Mytilus edulis: one gene and its partner. The protein of the gene in region 1 interacts with the protein of each later gene in a pairwise test. Links are inferred from orthologs where the notes say so. Each region holds a gene or a part of one and is shown on either strand. Other genes may lie near its edges.

What was found.
Region 2: the proteins of DNA primase small subunit-like (region 1) and small ribosomal subunit protein uS5 interact in a two-hybrid assay, tested with the Caenorhabditis elegans proteins (2 studies listed by BioGRID). The link is inferred for Mytilus edulis from reciprocal best matches to the Caenorhabditis elegans genes pri-1 and rps-2.

The regions. Positions count from the first base shown.
Region 1 is NC_092357.1:7,813,995-7,823,017, reverse strand, and holds the start of DNA primase small subunit-like, read right to left. Parts: upstream 3,835-9,023; 5' UTR 3,785-3,834; coding exon 3,664-3,784; intron 1-3,663. UniProt on the Caenorhabditis elegans protein: DNA primase is the polymerase that synthesizes small RNA primers for the Okazaki fragments made during discontinuous DNA replication.
Region 2 is NC_092352.1:58,050,519-58,060,136, forward strand, and holds the start of small ribosomal subunit protein uS5, read right to left. Parts: upstream 3,978-9,618; 5' UTR 3,037-3,977; coding exon 2,779-3,036; intron 2,433-2,778; coding exon 2,325-2,432; intron 1,960-2,324; coding exon 1,786-1,959; intron 1-1,785. Other genes in the region: uncharacterized protein, read left to right, coding at 7,271-7,318, 8,462-8,539, 9,064-9,141. UniProt on the Caenorhabditis elegans protein: Component of the ribosome, a large ribonucleoprotein complex responsible for the synthesis of proteins in the cell.

The DNA of each region.
Region 1 (9,023 bases):
AGTGACAAAAAGCAACAAGAAGCTATTTAGCGACAAGAATACATTTTGTTATCACATACATCAAAATATTTTTTTAGGATTATATTGAAAGATGAAGAAATAAAAAAAATTCGAGGAAGAGATTGTGCACTTTTTATATGAAGAAATTAAACATGTGTAAGAGCAAAGGAAATGTAAACGCTATAAAATGAAAATAAAAACAAAGATTTGTCACCTTCCTTTTGAAGGATTTAATAAAAAAAAAACATGAAATATTATTTCCTTCCTAACTGTACAATTAATTTGTCCTGATAGGACCAACATTAGCTGTGGCTTCACTCTAAGGTAATACACAATTCAGAGCATCAAATGAGATTAACTAGGTGCGTGTCCTTTGTTTAATTGCTACAATAACATCCATTAACACCTTCATCTATTACATGCACCAGAATATACAATTATTGTACCGAATAGTGAACGCCTGACTGTTGAAAACTCAAGATTGTCATCAGTTTCCTTTAATCTTCAATCTATATGCATAAACATGATAAATATCGTTAAATGAGACAATACACTAAATAAAATGATGAAAAATATTCACGTTTTAGTTATGTTTTCCTCTTATTTGATTTCAGTTCTTAATTTGTATTTCACAATTTGTATATGTATTTTCTGGACAATTATGCACAAATAATGCATTTTGCAAGTTAATTATATATTGTACAAAAATAGTTTTAAAAACAAATAAAAATCAAAATATATTATTGTTCTAAAACACAAGTAAAAGTAATACCATAAAACGACAGGGTAAAGGTAATACTTCCTGTGATACCTTATATAAAATATCATGTAAATAAATGTAGCAACTGAATTAGATTTACAAGTTTAATTTTTTTCCCTATCAAAATTAATTTTCCTGTCGTTGAAATTGTTTTCTTTTGCATATCTTTTTAATATTTATTTCGAATAAGTATAAATATAAATAAAAAAATGTTTTCTTGTCGCTAAATAGTTTCTTGTTGCTAATATTATTCTTCTTGTCGCTTCTTGACGCTTTTTGTCTCTACAATTCTTTTTGTCTCTAATTAGTGAGACCACGCATGGGCATTTAAAATACATAAACAAACCGCCACTTGCAATTTGGAACAAGAACGTTTATTAAATGATATGATGAATGGTTCTCCATTTCTTTATGAGAGTACAGTATCAAATATCAGTTTCATAACGGTAAAATATAGAAATACTCCACTTCAGTTCTTGTGACAGAAATAGAATTATCGATCGGCTTTCAGAGAACTCTCGCAAGTTATCAAAATTTGGGAATTCCCTCTGACGTGTTTCTAAATTTATAAAAACACTAAATATAAATACTGTTTAATTCTGATTTTCCGTATTGTTAAAAACATGCATATAAGTCAAGGAAAATATCACACATGAAGATTATGAGTAAAACATTACAGGAAAGTTGTTTATGTTCAATTGTTTTGCTTGTTTTTACCTTTTAAAGCAAGACAATCATAAGAATCTGAGATGTTGCTGAATGTTTAGAATAAAACGAATGACGTGAGGGAGTGTATCATAGGGTCAATGGTAAAAGTCTACAGATTGCTTGACAGCAATCGTATCCCAAAAATCTGATGGGTAACTGCATGGATACCATATGTAGGTATGGCAAACCAATGGGAGATAACTCCAAATTACCCTAAATAATTGTTCCCAGATGTGTGTAAAAATAAAATCTTTGGGTGACCTCCGATTACGGCCTTCTATTAACTTGTTAAGTCTCAGAAGGTTTTGATTGCTTTTGATAGATATTATATGAATATTCATGATTCTGTATATTATAATTTTCGGGAATACGATGAAATATTTGAGGTACAAACAAGGGTTTGAAAGTTACATTCGTTTCAAAAAAATACAAGGGAATGTTATACAGTCATAAAATGTACTTTTTTATTAAGTTTAATATATTAATTAAATAATTAGGTCCAATAAATAAATCTAGAAAGCTGTGTTCATATCAAAATAAATTTTTATAAATAACCCTCCTTTTTGTGTATACAGAGTTATTTCCCTTGCATGGACAACTTTTGGTTTAGTTTTGATTGGAAATCAGCAGAGATAGTTTTTTTTGCATTATACAGCCAGTTTACTGCGATTTAAAGATAGTTCAACCACTTGCCATTGCACACGAGATAGTAAGGATAATGAATAATGTGGTTTAACAACAATCAATATATGTATTTTCAACATGTTCAACTAAAAACATACATAGGAATCCATGCAGTAGCGGCAGTTCACTGGGAATACTATTCACATTCAATACTGTATTGCATTTTGAACTTCAGTCCTGAATGAGATTGGTTTACAGATTTCACTGTATAAATATTGTAACTGATATACAGTTATGAATTTACTTTACTTGTATACATACAAGTATTTACAGTGATCTGACATAATTATTTTGTTTGAAATTTCTCGAATAAAAATAATGTTATATTATTTTCATTGTTTTTCAGTGCAACAGGTATTTTAGTCCTGTAAAATAATTGTTAGAAGGTTGTTGTTTATTTTTATTTATATTAGCATTCACTATACATGCTATATATAAGAATAAGAATATTTCATTAAATAGAATGTTAATGAAAAGGGAACATTCTAAAACCATTATGACTATACAAAGACAGATGACATATTTCAAAACTTTCTGGTCTCTCATGGTACAACTGATTTTTATAGTTCGTTCTTATGTTGTACTGTCACAGGTCAGGGGGAAGATTGGGCACCCGCTAACATGTTTAACCCCGCCACATTCTATATGTACATGTATGTGCCTGTCCAAAGTCAGGAGCCTGTAATTCAGTGGTTGTCGTTTGTTGATGTGTTAAATATTTGTTTTTCTTTCATTTTTTGTACATATATTAGGCTGTTAGTTCTCTCGTTTAAATTGATTTACATTTGTCATTTCGGGGCCTTTTATAGCTGACTATGCGGTATGAGGTTTGCTCATCGTTGAAGGCCGTACGGTGACCTATAGTTGTTAATTTCTGTGTCATTTGGTCTCTTGTGGAGAGTTGTCTCATTGGCAATCATACCACATCTTCTTTTTTATACACACACACAAACATATACATTTGTATATAAAGAGTAATATTCATATTTAAATTTTGTTTCTTTACATTCAAGTGTTTATAAAGTTTTCTTTACATTTTCAATATACCAACTGATGCTCTGAAAAAAGGAAAATATAAAGGTATCATCATGTGACTTTGGACGATAGAATTTCATGCGAGTGGTTGACATTTTCATACTTTATGTATCTATTTTGACCAAAAAACTTAATATTGAGGATTGAAATAGACCAACAAGATGTAAAAGAAGCAATATAAACAAAATTATAACCCAAATGATTCAAAAAATATATTTTATTATTTTTTAAAGAGAGGAAACAGTTTTTCCAGAATAGTAAAAAATTATCATTTTGAAAATTTGCTATTTCTTCGTTGTTATTATGTGTATTGATAAAAGTGAAACTGTTTTGAAAATGTCTTCACAATGCCTTTAAAATGAGGTAAAGTTTTCTTAGATCAGTTAATTTTAAAAAAATCACTTTCCGTACCTACCATATGATAAGAAGAAACCCCTATTGACACAGAGAGAAGTGCCCTTGGAAAAAAAACATACCCCCGCCATAGTTGAGCCACTTGAAATATGGTCCATAAGGAAAAAGTCTTTTGTAATAAATGGGCAATAAATCTGGCAATGAAGCTGCATCATAAACGTGCTCTTTTTCTTCTCCTGGCATGGTATCAAATTTTTGTTTACAAAATTTAGCGCCAAAATCTATTTACCGGAAATAAGAATTTACGACTTCATAATTTTATTTTACCTTATCATGAAATACTGAAATACTAGATTTTCGAAAGATAAGCATTGAAAAATATCTTTTAAAACTATATAACTGATTTTAAATATTGTATAAATTCTACTTTTACGACTCCCGTAATTTGGTCGTAAGAATTTCCACAAAAGAAGAAAGTAAGAAAACACTGCCAAAAAAACAAAACTACAACGAATAAGAAGATGTCATCTAATATTTAATGTTAGTTTAATAGTCAGCTTTGAGATTTTGATGAAAACTTTTATTTATTTTAAGCAGTTATTCCATATCATGACATTAATTATTTTTAAAAGTGAGTTGTCTCCCTGTGACCACAAGTTTTTCACAAGTTACTATAGGCCTATGAGGGTCTTAAGGGTATCGGGATCGTTCGCCCTTATAACATGTTCGCCCTGGGTACGTTCGCCCTGAGTTCGTTCGCCCAGAGAGTCCGTTCGCCCTACTAAAAAATATCGATATTCAAGGCATTGAAGTTGAAAAATCTTATTCAGATATTTCTATGGTATATATATTCTTGAAATTTATGGAAACAGGGAAATATTTAAAAGTTTATGGCTTGTTTAGGATCGTTAATTGTTCAATGACAAAATAATTCGGATCACTGATTATTGTGATACCTGTTACCTGTTACCTGTACTGCAACTCCCTCCTATGTCAGGAGAACCACCAATCCTAGAATCGGTGTAATATCACTCGCGGTTAAAATCCTCAAGATTATGTTTAAAAGATATATAAAACCTTTAAAACTATAAAAGAGATATTAATTTATCTCCTCTGGGGGATGTGACCCTATCACCAATATTTACACTATTCTGGTATGCATAAAAAGTCATCCATCATTCAAATATAAAAGTTGCTTCTTTCATATTAAAAACGGTAAAATGTAAATACACTATATATAACAAAATGTTCTATCTTTTGGTATGACCCTTCTTTTCAGCTCGGTATTACACGCTTTTAATCACTGTTCAATTAATATTGCCCGTTGCTGGAATAATTTATGACACAGACCTCTCGATAATGTTTCTATTCTATTCTGTGCATTCTCATTTAAAAATCTAAATTTTGAGCAGTCGATAACTAGCTGACACAAATGTTCGTCATTGGTTATTAATTCTTGGATAAGATCCTGATCCTCTAGGTTTACTGTCAATACCTCGCCTATCATATGCAGAAAATCATCTCTTATATATTGTAGGTTAGAGCACTTTAATATGAAGTGAAGTATATCTTCTTCTTCCTCTGCACATAACTGGCAAATAGGCGACACATGTCCATTGCTAAATTTAGCTCGATGATATTGCAGGTATATTGTCCCTGTTGCTAACTTTGCCTTTAAGGAGGCAGATGTGATGGCATATGGATTTGTGCCACAGCTTTTCCATATGTTATGTATTTTCCCTTCTTTGACATTTTCATAATTTAGGCGAGACAGAGTAGATTTCGATTTTGCTTCACTTATCATTTGTTTTATACAGTGATCATTGACGGTTTTATTTACCAGGTTTTTCCAAAGTTGTTTCCCGGGTGGGTTATCTATAATATCATATGGCGATGGTAAGTCATATATATTGGCAATTTCAACAGTTTTTGTAAACCAGCTACCAGATTGTAGAGATTTTGTTGCTAGCTGTCTGATAGCTAATTTTCTTTCAATTGAGTTTTCATTTCTTATGATATTTCCAAAGGTTTTCAGTATTCGTTTATGTATTTCTGATTCAATGGTAATCCGTCCAAGAAGAAGATGTGAAGCTACGTTTGCAGTTCTGTCTGGCAGGTGTTGAATTTGTCGCAAGAGTTTTCGAAAATAAGTGGAGAGGTTTTTCATGTCTTCAGTAGATACTTGTCTTTTGATGGATTATTAATAAAAATCAAACGTTTTGTTTTGATAAAATATTCAGCTTGAAATTAATAAACACAATGATGTACGAACTGTAAATCATGAAACGGATTTACAAGTTCATTATTATACTCAGAGACAGTCCTAGTCTCAGTTATACTGCATACATTCATGATTGACTGAATACAATTATTTTGTTAACAAATATCAATAAAGAGAAATACATTGTACATACCAATTCTACTCTGTAAATCAAAGAGAAAATTATAAAATGATTGCGGCAATATAAATATTCTGTCAATTTGTAAACAAACTTTAACATATTTTGTTCAAATACTTAAAATTATGCGACTGGACAACAAACAGAAAAAAATATAAATCTGGGCGAATGGACCCTGGGCGAACAGGTATCAGGGCGAACACGTAGTATGGCGAACGTGAATCAGGGCGAACGGACCCGGATTCGGTCTTAAGGTAGCGCAATACAAAGATTTTTCATCCCACTCAGACATCTTTAAACTGATGTAATTCCACTCATCTTTCTTTAAATTTTATAAATGAGGTACCAAAAGAAAGAAGAAGGATTAATCTTTCAAATTGTGATAATTTCATTATGACATAATTATTACATAATTAATTGTTATGTAATTAGTTGCGGTATTGTGATGTCCATACTTGAATGAATTTAGCTTCTTTGTTATTCCTAGCATCCCAAAATACTTTATAGATTCTTGCACAACACAGTTTGACCTCCAAAACTGTACAAGAATCTGTAAAATATTTTGGGATGCTATGAAGAACAAAGACGCTAAATTCGTTCAAGTGTGAACATCACAATATAGCAACTAATTACATAATAATTAATTATGTAATAATTATGTCATAATGAAATTATCACAATTTGAAAGATTAATCTTTCTTCTTTCATGTCTTTCTTTTGGTATCTCATTTATAAAATGTAAAGAAGGATGTTCAAAATGAATTACATCAGTTTAAAGTTGTCTGATTGGGAGTGAAAAAATCTTTGTATTGTGCTACCTTAATTGAAGAATAACGGTAAAAAAAATTGACAAATGATGTGTACAGTATTTTTTGTTTCATCCATGTGTAGGAATTTCTCGCTGCATTAATGACCTGTTGGTGACCTTCTGCTGTTGTCTGTTCTATTGTCAGGTTGTTGTCTCTTTGACACATTCCCCATTTCCATTCTCAATTTTATGTTGAAATGTACGCTTTCTTTGATATAAAATCAACTGAATTTTAATAATGAATCACATTAATGTTTTTTTCCAGAAATTACGGTGTTGATAATTTCTTAAATTAGACCTCTGACGATTCATGAGAGCTCAGAGGTGGTAATTCCCTTTACCGTCAGTCGTAAAACGATAATTTTCGGCTACCGTAAGCATCAAATTGGTTAAAATTTTAATGTGATTCAGTGTTCTCCCCAGGATTTTTTTGATAGCGCTGTGGTAAGCAGGTAATTTTCGACGATTCTCAGTAACTTTGTCGCGGTGCACGGTTTGTTTGTAATTAATTTGTTATGTGTTTTTCTTATATTACATGTATGCTATTGATGTTTTCTCTTGTAATAATGTCCTCATCATGCTCGTGGAAGTTACCCCTTTGTTTGTTAATGTTGTTGTCTGGATATAGAAGAAGAGTCTTTTTCTCCATTGTAAATTCATATAATCTCATATTATCTGTGTGTAAAACCCAAGGAGAAGTCTTTTTCCATGATGGGTCTATACCAGACTGCCTGATGATGTTGCAGAACATGTAGGACCAACAATAAAGTATTTGTCAGCTTCTGTGTTTGGTTTTGTAACCCACTGTAGCAGTGTATTGTTAACCTTACGACGTTTGAAAGAAATTAACATTTTTTAGCATAATGATTTCTCATTTTTCTGACCTTAATGTTTTATAATATTCAAATGGCTTCATCTAAGCTGGATATCAAGAAAGGGAATTTCTCAAGTCGTATTGATCAGCTTGGGGTTTGTTTTTCTAATCATATCCTCTCAATTGTTTTCAAATGGTAAATTTATCACTGTAGAATTGCTGATTAAACAATTATTAGTTCAAATAGGTGATAATTAATACTTCAACAGACACTTTAAACTTTGAAAACCAAGTATAAACCTTTTCAAACGCAAAAGTCATACCTTGTATGCATATACCTTATGTTATGAAATTTCCATCTGTCATACATGATGATTCTAAGCAAACATATGTATGGAAAGCTTCACCCTTTTTTCAGGGGGAGGGAGGGGCAACTGCAGTTCATGTATGTTATAGGCCCTGACAGCTTTGATCATGTAATAATTCTTTACTTTCAATTTCCTCAGTTTTAAAATGAGATTAATGTAAAATAATGATTACTGTATTTTCAAACCCATTAATTTTGAATTTTTTAAACTGCAGTTTGGTAGTTACAATACACCTTATCGCTATTTGCCTTCGCTTGAACTTTTGACGCATACAACAATCACTTTTCCATTGTGGCGTCAGATATTTTGTTTTATATCGTCAAAATTTTACGGGAACCTGTGTGATATCCAGTAATGGCGGACAAATAGCGATAAGGTGTATCACAACTGTCATGCATGACTGTTAATACAACCGACAAACAAGTACAGATCAAATTCACATGTTATTAGCACCAAGTAACACTAACAATAAATGGTTATACAATGATATATAAATGTCACAGAGAAAGGAGTGACAGTAGATAAATAAGATATCAATTATTTTTCAATAATGAACTTCCTATCAATAAGTTTTCATTTATTTGATTAACAACTTTTCAGTATAATAGCTGATTGTCCAAAAGTGAGAATTTTTTTTGCATATTGTTGAAGGCCATTTAGTGACCTTTGGTCTGTATTAGCATGATTAGAAAGTTGATTTTCCTCTAAGTTCAGAATTTTGTGATTTTACTTTTTTTGTCTTTATTGGTTATCATATTATATCTCCTTATATTTATATTCAAAGAGCCATGAAATAATAGAATAGATAAAGGAAAGAGGGAATGTGTCAAGAGACAACAACCATTCAAAGAGTAGAAAACAGCCCAAGGTCACCAGTCATGCTTGAACGGGTCGGGTCTTCTTCCTTGTTCTTTGTAGAGAAAATGCAACACCCATAGTCAGTCTTCAGCATGACTTGAACATGCTAAACAAGTATTACTGTAATGCAGGGTTTCCCCTGGGTCAATTATTTTTTTCGCCACCTCTTTCGCCAAAACAATATATTTTTTCGCGACTTTATTATTTTTTCGCCAAGTAACACAAATTTATATTT
Region 2 (9,618 bases), on another chromosome or scaffold:
AACAATATAAATGCATATGTACATAAATATTGAGAAAGAGTTATAGCTGACAAAGAGATCTAATACACACATAAAAAAGGAAATATTATATTATATGGTATGATAAATATCAAGGGAGACAACCCTGTTCTTATGTAAATACTCTATTAAGTTACCATATCCATACAACAAATATATATATATATATATGACAGAACACTAAGATGATAATTTTTCTGTTGCTTTGCTATCAGTTTTGTAAAATATACTCAAACTTAGAAATCTAGATATATTTCTACATACATTGGCATGTTCATTACTCATAAGCCAAATAAATTTGTTATCTGTGTTCAGTTTTGAACTATTCTTATTATAGCAAATGTCTATATAGGTTTGCCTAATAGTAAAATATTTTTGGCAATCTAATAAAATGTGTTTTTCATCTTCTACTTCACAAGAGGAACAGTTCTTACATGTTCTGTCATTAACAGGTGTTTTTGGTATTGTATATCTACCCAATTCAATTTGCAGTCTATGATTGCTGGTTCTATATCTACTCATGTTATATTTATCATTTTCGTTACAAATATTAACAAGATAATTTTCAAATTTGAAAATGTTTTTGAAAGTTCTATATGTTCTCAGTTTCTCACTGGTTTGAAGTTGTTGAAACCATCTAGATTCAAACTTACTTTTAGTAGATTTTATTATCCTTTGGATATCACCATTTTTCATAGAAACATGTAATTGAGTTAATTCTGACTCATTAGAGTTGAACATATTAAATTTCTTGAGAATATTTTTTATTGAGCTTAACCAGCAATTTTGATTATTTTCAATCATGAGTAGATTCTCTGCAAGTGCATGAGATAAAAGTTTATCACCTGTTTTATCATTTTCAAGTCTAGTCCAATATTTTAACATAGACGAAACAATATCAATATAAATTGGATATCGACCTAATTCACCATACAAGGCCAGTTTGCTTGTCTTTTTATTAACTGATAAAATATATCTACATAAAGACAAATTAAGTTTCTCCAATGGGAGATATTTATAAACTTTTTCAAATAAGTTATCATCTAAAGAGGGTTTAAACATCCCCACTATCTCGGATGCATATAAAAGTACAGGTTTGACAGTATGGTCAAATACATACAAAAAATTTTCTGCATCACAAGACATATTTTTAAATACATTAGTTATTTTGAAAAAAGCTTTTTGGCCTCGGGTGTATAGGTCCTTTAGCGCATTATTAAAACTACCATTTGCAGTAAATATAACACCAAGATACTTGTATTGTTTTACAATTTCTATTTCTGATTCACCAATGTAGAAATTAACTTTAGGAATTCTACTTCCCTTATTGAATATAAGTACTTTTGATTTCCGATAGTTGATGCCAAGTCCCCACTCATTACAATATTCAAACACTTTATTCATGCTATTTTGAAGACCCTCTTTAGTTTCTGACATCAACAATAAATCATCGGCATATAGCAGACAGTTAATAGATTTAGTTCCCATAGAAACTGGTGAACAGGAGCAATCAAATATCTTGGTGATATCATTGATAAATACATTGAACAGGTTAGGACTAAGGTTGTCTCCCTGAAAAACACCAATATTTGAAGGAAAGGCTTCGGTTATACTTTCATTGTTAAGTTTTACCCTTAATCCAATATTTGTATACATGGATTGTAGAATAGATAGATATTTCCCACCAATACCAGCTTTTGCAAGCTTTAATAAAAGGGCAGGGTGGATCACAGAGTCAAATGCCTTTTTAAGGTCTACACAACCTACCTTACATGGTACGGTATGGGGTTTACCGATCTTGTTACCCCAATATCCTCTCCTGACAGGAATGACAGACAATTTAGCCAAGATGATGGCTCCCCTAATAGCTGTTGCCACTTCCTTGGAGCATTTTACTCCCAAACCAACATGACCGTTGTGATCTCCAATAGCAACAAAAGCCTGTAATAAATATCAAATATTTAAATGTCTCCCATCCCCTTCAGGTTGTTTATTACTTTTAGACAACAGATAATATACATTTGAATTCCTTGATGTCTTATGAACAGTTTCATGGAGAGCATAATCTAAAAGAAGAAAAAAATTGTGACATTAAATATCTCAAGGTTCAACTGGATTAATGAAGAGATATTTTTGAATTTAAAGATTTAGATAATTTAGGATTAGGACAAGTGTTGAATATAATGGATCAATAATTTCTTTGGTCATTTTAATTCCAGACTCTTACAACGTCTAATCTTTATATGATATGCAAACCATATATCTGGGTAACTATTTGTTCAGTTGTGTTAAATAAATGACCTTACCTTGAACCTTGTTCTTTGTCCGGCTCTGGTCTGTTTCTGTACAGGCATAATCTTCAATACTTCATCCTTGAGTGTACTTGGGAAGAAGAAATCAATGATTTCACATTCCTGGATAAAAAAAATCAAATGAAAGTAAGATATAGCCCATTTTCCTGGATTAAAAAATAAATACATGTATGACAATTCAGGGATGTTAATGTACCAGCTGGTACAAAGAATCCTAGGCAACAGTTCTCTGAAAGTAAAAATATTTCAGTGCAAGTAGATTTGATGTACATGTACAATTGAAGAATTTTTATATTTCAAAAACCTCTGAAATCTCACAATTAAATGAACAAGTTGCTACAATAACTGTTTCTTCATTGAAGGTTTCCTATTTATCACACACACATATTGACCAACGTATATTAAATAATGTGCAGCCCCCTTTTGTACATGATTATTAGATACAAACCTTAATAGGCAAAGAAAACAGGTAAATTTCTTCTAGAGACTTGATCTTCATGTCTTTGACAAGACGTCCCAGTTTGGTTACTGGCATCCATTCCTTATCCCCATCTTTATTTCCACGACCTCTACCTCTTCCACGACCACGTCCACGCCCTCTTCCTCTACCCCTACCACGTTCTCCTGACCCAAAACCACCTCTGAATCCTCCTCTATCACCGCCTCCTCTACCACCGGCTGGTGCTGCTGCAGGTGCGTCCGCCATTGCTGTTTAAATATAAGAATCATTTTTAGAATTAAAAAAAAAAATATCACTTTTTCTTTCATCGCAAATGACAACAGAAATGCAGTAAATTTATCTTTCAAATTGAGATAATGTGGTTATTTCTCTAAAAGCTTTAAAGTTTGCAGAACAAAATAAAATCAGAACCCCAACTAGATTTAAACTGTACAAAAGAAAGGCAACTCTGAGTAGACAAACATGTATGACTTAAAAAGTTTTATGACCATGCAGCACATTTAGATAAATACATTTTGTGTTTAAGAGTCCTGTGGGGGGGTGTCATTACTTATCAACCTTCTACAGCTGAATGGGTGCGAGTTTGACTGTTAGTGTTAGGGAAATTTCCACAAGTTTTGAGGTGTAAAAAAAAATCAAACCCATTTGTCAAACATTTTAAGAATAACCAGTAGCACGATTTCCTGAGAAATACAAGAACCTTTAAAATATCCCAAAGACAAACTGATATAACCCAATAAAAATATTTTTTATGGTGTTATGCTACTTTTTTATGGTGTTATACTTCTTATAAATATACTAAAAATATAAAAGAATATTAATTAAAGATATTACTTGTTTAAACCCATAAAAGTGCAATTTCACTTCAAGAATTTGATTTGTAGGTTTTGTTTACTAAATATATCGATTTTCTGAAGATTGCGTATACTTTTATTAATTATGAACGCCTAAAACCTTGTACATTATTTCGTAATTGTATGTGATTACACTAATTTAACACAGTATAACACCATAAAAAGTCTTATCGGGATATTTATCAGTTTGTCTTTGGGATATTACGTATATTACGTTGTTCTTGTATTTCCTTAGAAATCGTGATACCCAAGAATAACCTACTATCTCATTGGTATACCACAGGTTAGATGAGACACGATTATGTGTAGGAACCATATTATGCCGTATATTTCAAACATTTTTTGAAGCCAGGGTTTTTTTTGGGGGGGGGGGTATCTGGTCTTAAGTGTAATACCTATTGTATTACCAGATTCGTGGGCTTGGGACCTTAATTTTTAAAAATGTGTCTCTCCGGACAGCACATATTCTTGAACCTAGAATATATTTTCGTCTGACACTACTGAAGAAAGGTTTTTGTTACACAACCCATAAACTAGTAATAAAATCTGATGAAATATTTCACAATCGTGCATAAACCAAATTTAGTATGCGTCGCATTCATTCATGGATAATGTCGAGGAAGTATTTTCATTTGCCATGTTGTGCTCAGCCTATTTACACATTAATTATAATTTTCGTTCAACATCTTACTATAACCAGCAAACATACAGTTAAAATATGGAATAAAGCCATCTTAATGTTGATGGAATGAACCATGGTACGAAAAACACACTTATTCAACTAATCAGAAAATATTTTCAATTTAAGTAAATATATTTCATATCAACATGCTTTAAAATAATGTTTCCAACACCGATTTCAATTAAAAACTTATATTTCTCAATGATTATTTGGGATTTAAAAGAGACAAATTTTAAGCATTGGTACCGACGTGATATATAAACCGGAAAAGGAAGTTGAGATAGAAATTCTCGATTTTATAGAAAAAACCCGAGACTATCAGAATTGAGCTGAACCGAGAAGACTTTTTAGCTAATACCACTAGGTCTTGAATTTAGATAGTTTATTGAGTCAAGTCAAGAACATATACCACTTGAATAAATGTTAAGGTTCTATTGCATATAAAAGTCGCACAGATTTTCACTTTTAGTTATACGTCAATGTTCAAAACACCTAGGAAAATTATGAAATCATGATCATTCTCACAATTTTTTTCCAACTGTAGAGGTTAACTCCCTTTCCAACTATTTTCTGTAGTAAAACATATCAAAGTCAAAAACTTAGTAAATGCAACTAACATGTGGTACGCGATGAGCTCCTTATTAACGAAAGCTTAAGGATGTATGTTTTTGTTTTATTATTCAACTTTTAGGTTATCAATATCATGAACCAATGTACACCTTATTGCTAATCCCGGCTTAACCGGCCACTTGAACATTTGACGCATACAACAATCACTTTTCCATTGTGGCGTCAGATGTTTTGTTGTGTGACGTCAAAATTTTACGGGAACCTGTGTGATATCCAGTAATGGCAGACAAATAACGATAAGGTGTATATGGGCAATAGAATAGGCAAGTTCTTGGATACGGTTTTTAGATGAATCTGCCATGTGACTTCCATCACCACAAGACAAAAATGTATGAATAGTCATTTCCAACACATGTTGAGCAAAGGGGTGAAAAAGTTTTATTTTATACTGCACAAAATATTTGGGAAATTAAAATCTACTAAGATTGTCACCCTACCCCAGTAGTACGACAATCACGACTACATACATGTACTTACGGACACATTGATAAATTCTATACTACCCTACAGAAGGATAAAATATAAAAGTGCTGGAAACTTTAAATAGAGCAGGGATACTGATAAATGACGTCATAAAAGCCTGCAAAATTAACGACCTTTTTAGGTGAGAGACATGATTCCAGAAATGACTTATTTGAGGGAAATAATGTATGCTTCTCAGATACAAATTCACATAAACTCAATTGCCTCTTGAAGAAGATTTTTTTATTTTTATTTTAATGCCTAGGTCACACATTGACGGAATTTACGCCATATTAGCTATGGATATGAACCGGCATCATTCGAGGCAATCTTTATTAGTGCGACGATTTCTGTATTGTATCCGTAGTTATATGTTGAAGTACTTGTATACATGTATCCTTGACAAATTTTGAACATGTTCAAAATTTTACCAAGGATCAAACGACAGTAGTTATAATATCCCTACTAAACCGTCTAAGATCATACTGATCTGTTTTAGTCCCCAACTTATTCTGTCTCTTGTCCTTGAGGTATACATAGCATTAACCAACATGAATATACAACAACTGCTGCTTGTAGATAATTACTGGCATTTGGGCATTGATATGGCACAAAATGACAGGGCAGTGGTCGAGGAACTTGGTGACAGATCATGTAGAGGTGATTGGAGGCAGAGTAGATCATGATTGTGGACTAGGGACTGATTTCCCTATCCATGGCCAGTACAAAGAACATCACATGGTTCAGACAGATCTAAAATAATTTATCTGACAACAACAAAAAATAATCTACGTTAAACTGCTATAGATGATAAAAAAATAAAGTATCACAAACCTTCTTATTGGTTTGTACTATCCCATATCAGACCCTTCTCATTTGTACTAAGCCTTTCTTGTACCGTAACAAACCGCTGTCTATTGCAGTACATAAGTCTGGTCACGTGTTGTTGCATACTAAACTGTGTCATATCTGTAATAAACCATGTCTTACCATAAGAGCCTGTATCACTCATGTTGCCAAAATGAACCTGTCCTTCATTATTCGTGGTACAAAACCTGTAGTTATACCATTGTGCATCCGTACCGGTTCCTATCAGACTACGGAAACAACTTTCTGGGATCATCCGTGAGATTTAATCCGTAGTGAATCTGGCGAGGTGATTCATAATGTGTGACCTAGGCATAAAGAAAAGAAGAACTCTTTCCCCATGCTGTCTGAGTTTTGTTTAAATTTTAAAACTGTAGTGTAGCATAATATCGACCACTTTACCATTATTACTGCCTTTGGGAGCATGTTAAGCAATGTTTGCTGTGTTGTTTTCTATATAAATCAGGCTGTTGGTTGGATTATTGTTTCGTATGCAATCATACCACATCTTCTTTTTTTTATGTTAACTATACATGAGGAAATTCTAATTCTAATACTGTAAATTCAAAAATTATCGCAGCATTTTTATTGTTGCAAAAATGCAACAGGGTAATAATTGCAATAATTCATTATGAAATTTTTTATATGAATTAAATAGGATTTTTCCTCAATACCGCAAAAATTCAAATTGCATTTTTAGTCTAAAATTGCAAAATTGCAGTAATAAATGCACGCAATAATTTAGTAGGAATACAAATTCTGCAATGCTTCTGCTCTTCTTGCAGATATAGTACTGTGGATTCCTAGCTTATATTCATTACATTGGTTGGATACCAATTTTTGTTTTTCTTTTCACAAAAATTAGTGTTATAAGCTGTCGAGTTGATGGTTATGGTATTTATGCTTTTTAATATGATTTTTGAATTTTTTTTAGGTATTTTTTTATTTAACTAAGATGAAATACATGTAAAGGACGGCAGGAGGTATGACTGAAGTTGAACCTAATAGAAGAACGAGGAGTATGGACCCTCAAGTAAGTCCTTGTAGTTCCCAGTAGTATAAGTATATCTCTTTTTGGTACTTCAAAAATATTTCCTGTTAAAAGTTTTAAGCATATATATTGACAAAGGCGGATCTAGAGGGGGCCCTGGGGTGCCAAGCCCGCCCTATTTTGGGGGAAAATTTGGTGGATTATATAGGGAATCACTGATTCTGTAATTCTGATAGTGTCTTCAGTTGAAATACCAGATTGATTTGCATCAATATATTAAAATTTGCCCTCTTCTACATCTTTGGGCAATATAATAGAAACTGTATAAAAGATTATGGAAATGAAAATAACAATAAAAATATTAAAGTAATGTCAGAAAAAATGTCAGACAAGCTATTGGCTGGATCACAACATCTACGATGCTTTGATTACCATAATCCATGTTGATTTAAAGATTATATTTTGTTTTATATATATATATATATATATATATATATACAACTCGTCTAAACATCAACCCAACAATGTTAGATCTGTAAATTTGCTTTCTCAAATTTTTGGTTCTTCCCTCGCCGGGATTCGAACCCATGCTACTGTGATATCGTGACACCAAATCGCCTGCACTGCACCGTCCCACTAGACCACACGACCACCTGGGCTCTCAAAAAAAGAGCTTTCGCTGGCCGTGTGTTACCTTTCCTCGTCAGTTTTAATCTAGCGGCGTACTACAGTACATGATATATAAGGCATGAAGATGTTATTGTTACAGATCAGCTAAATTATCTATAGTAAAGGATCCTACAAATTAATGTAATATACAGTCACAGAAAATAATTATATTTATAAGTACGTCTGAGTCAGTGACAACTCTACAAAAGACAACAGATGTATCCATCGGATCTAATATATATAAAAATTATTGATGGTCTATTGTCTTTTCAAGATGCTTGTAATTAAACCTGATTATAAAGCTGAAAATGTAAAAGTAATTAAGTCATTGATATTCAATATGAATGTTTCATTTGCAAAAAAATAAATAACCTGACAAAGAGCCATTGATTCTGTGGAAAAGTTTGATTTCTTTCACAATTATATGTAAAAAGCAAGGAAATGTACATGTTTATATAATAAATTGATCATATGCAACAATTTATATATAATTTTTGAAATATTTATTTGTTATAGAAGGAACCTCTGGCTTTCCCGCTGGATTTGTCGAATGTTCCTCATGACATGGCAGAGGTGATGAAACAGATCAAAGAGGTTTGTTCTACTTATTGATGTACATACCACAACAGGGAGATAACTCTGTAAAATCAGTTGAACGTTTTAATTACATTCTATTGTTCGGGAAATATTAAGCTTCCCAATGTAAAATTAAATTATTAAAGATATATCTTACTGGTTTATATATTTTTATTCTGAACCAAATACGTTCATGTGTGTAATACTAAATACTCTATTTAGTTTTCCTGATTTAAGGGGCCAACTAGGATAAATAAGATAAATAGTGGCAAAATCTAATGTTCTAATACATCTTTATTCAAATTTTAAACTAAACATGACTGAAGAACAACAATATGATCTTTAAATCGACTTCAGTCATATGAATTTAACCACAATGTCTGACGGTTGTGCCTGTCATGACCTACCTCTAAGTTTTGGTCTTGTGACACTCTGGCTTCCTCCACTTAGAAAAACTGGCCGCCTCAAAATATATAAAAAAGTGGTGCTTAAAAATGGCGTTATAACACAGAAAATCAAATTGAATATTTTTATTTATACAGTTAGCAGAGAGTATGTTGTATCATTGGAAAACTTTCCCAATAGTGCTACCCCAGTCTGTTACTGATGGTAAAACTCAGGTATGTGTTGTCTTAGGAGTCGCATGTTATCACCTTCAGTATATTGTGAACAATGAGCTTTTCAACAATAGATAAAATTTGATGTCCTTTTATAATAAACCATTGCAAGTCTAAAATATTTTACTCAATGTTATAACTTGGACTTTTTGTTCACTTGAACATTTGTATGGTTAAACATATTAATTTCACAATTGCAAGTCTGAAAATTTTTACTCAATGTTATAACTTGAAGTTTTTGTTCAGTTGAACATTTGTATGGTTAAAATAGCAAAGTTCAACCTGAAAAAATAATTCTGATGCAATTATTGCTTAAATGATGTATATTTTTGGTTAAAGTTAATCAGAAAATTTAGTCTATTTTTTTTTATATGAAAACAAACAAGTTGCTTGAGTGCCTGATGTAGGAGAAAAATTAACTAATACAGTTAACAAGAAAATTGGAATGGAATAATGCACAATTCTTCAATTATTAAACAG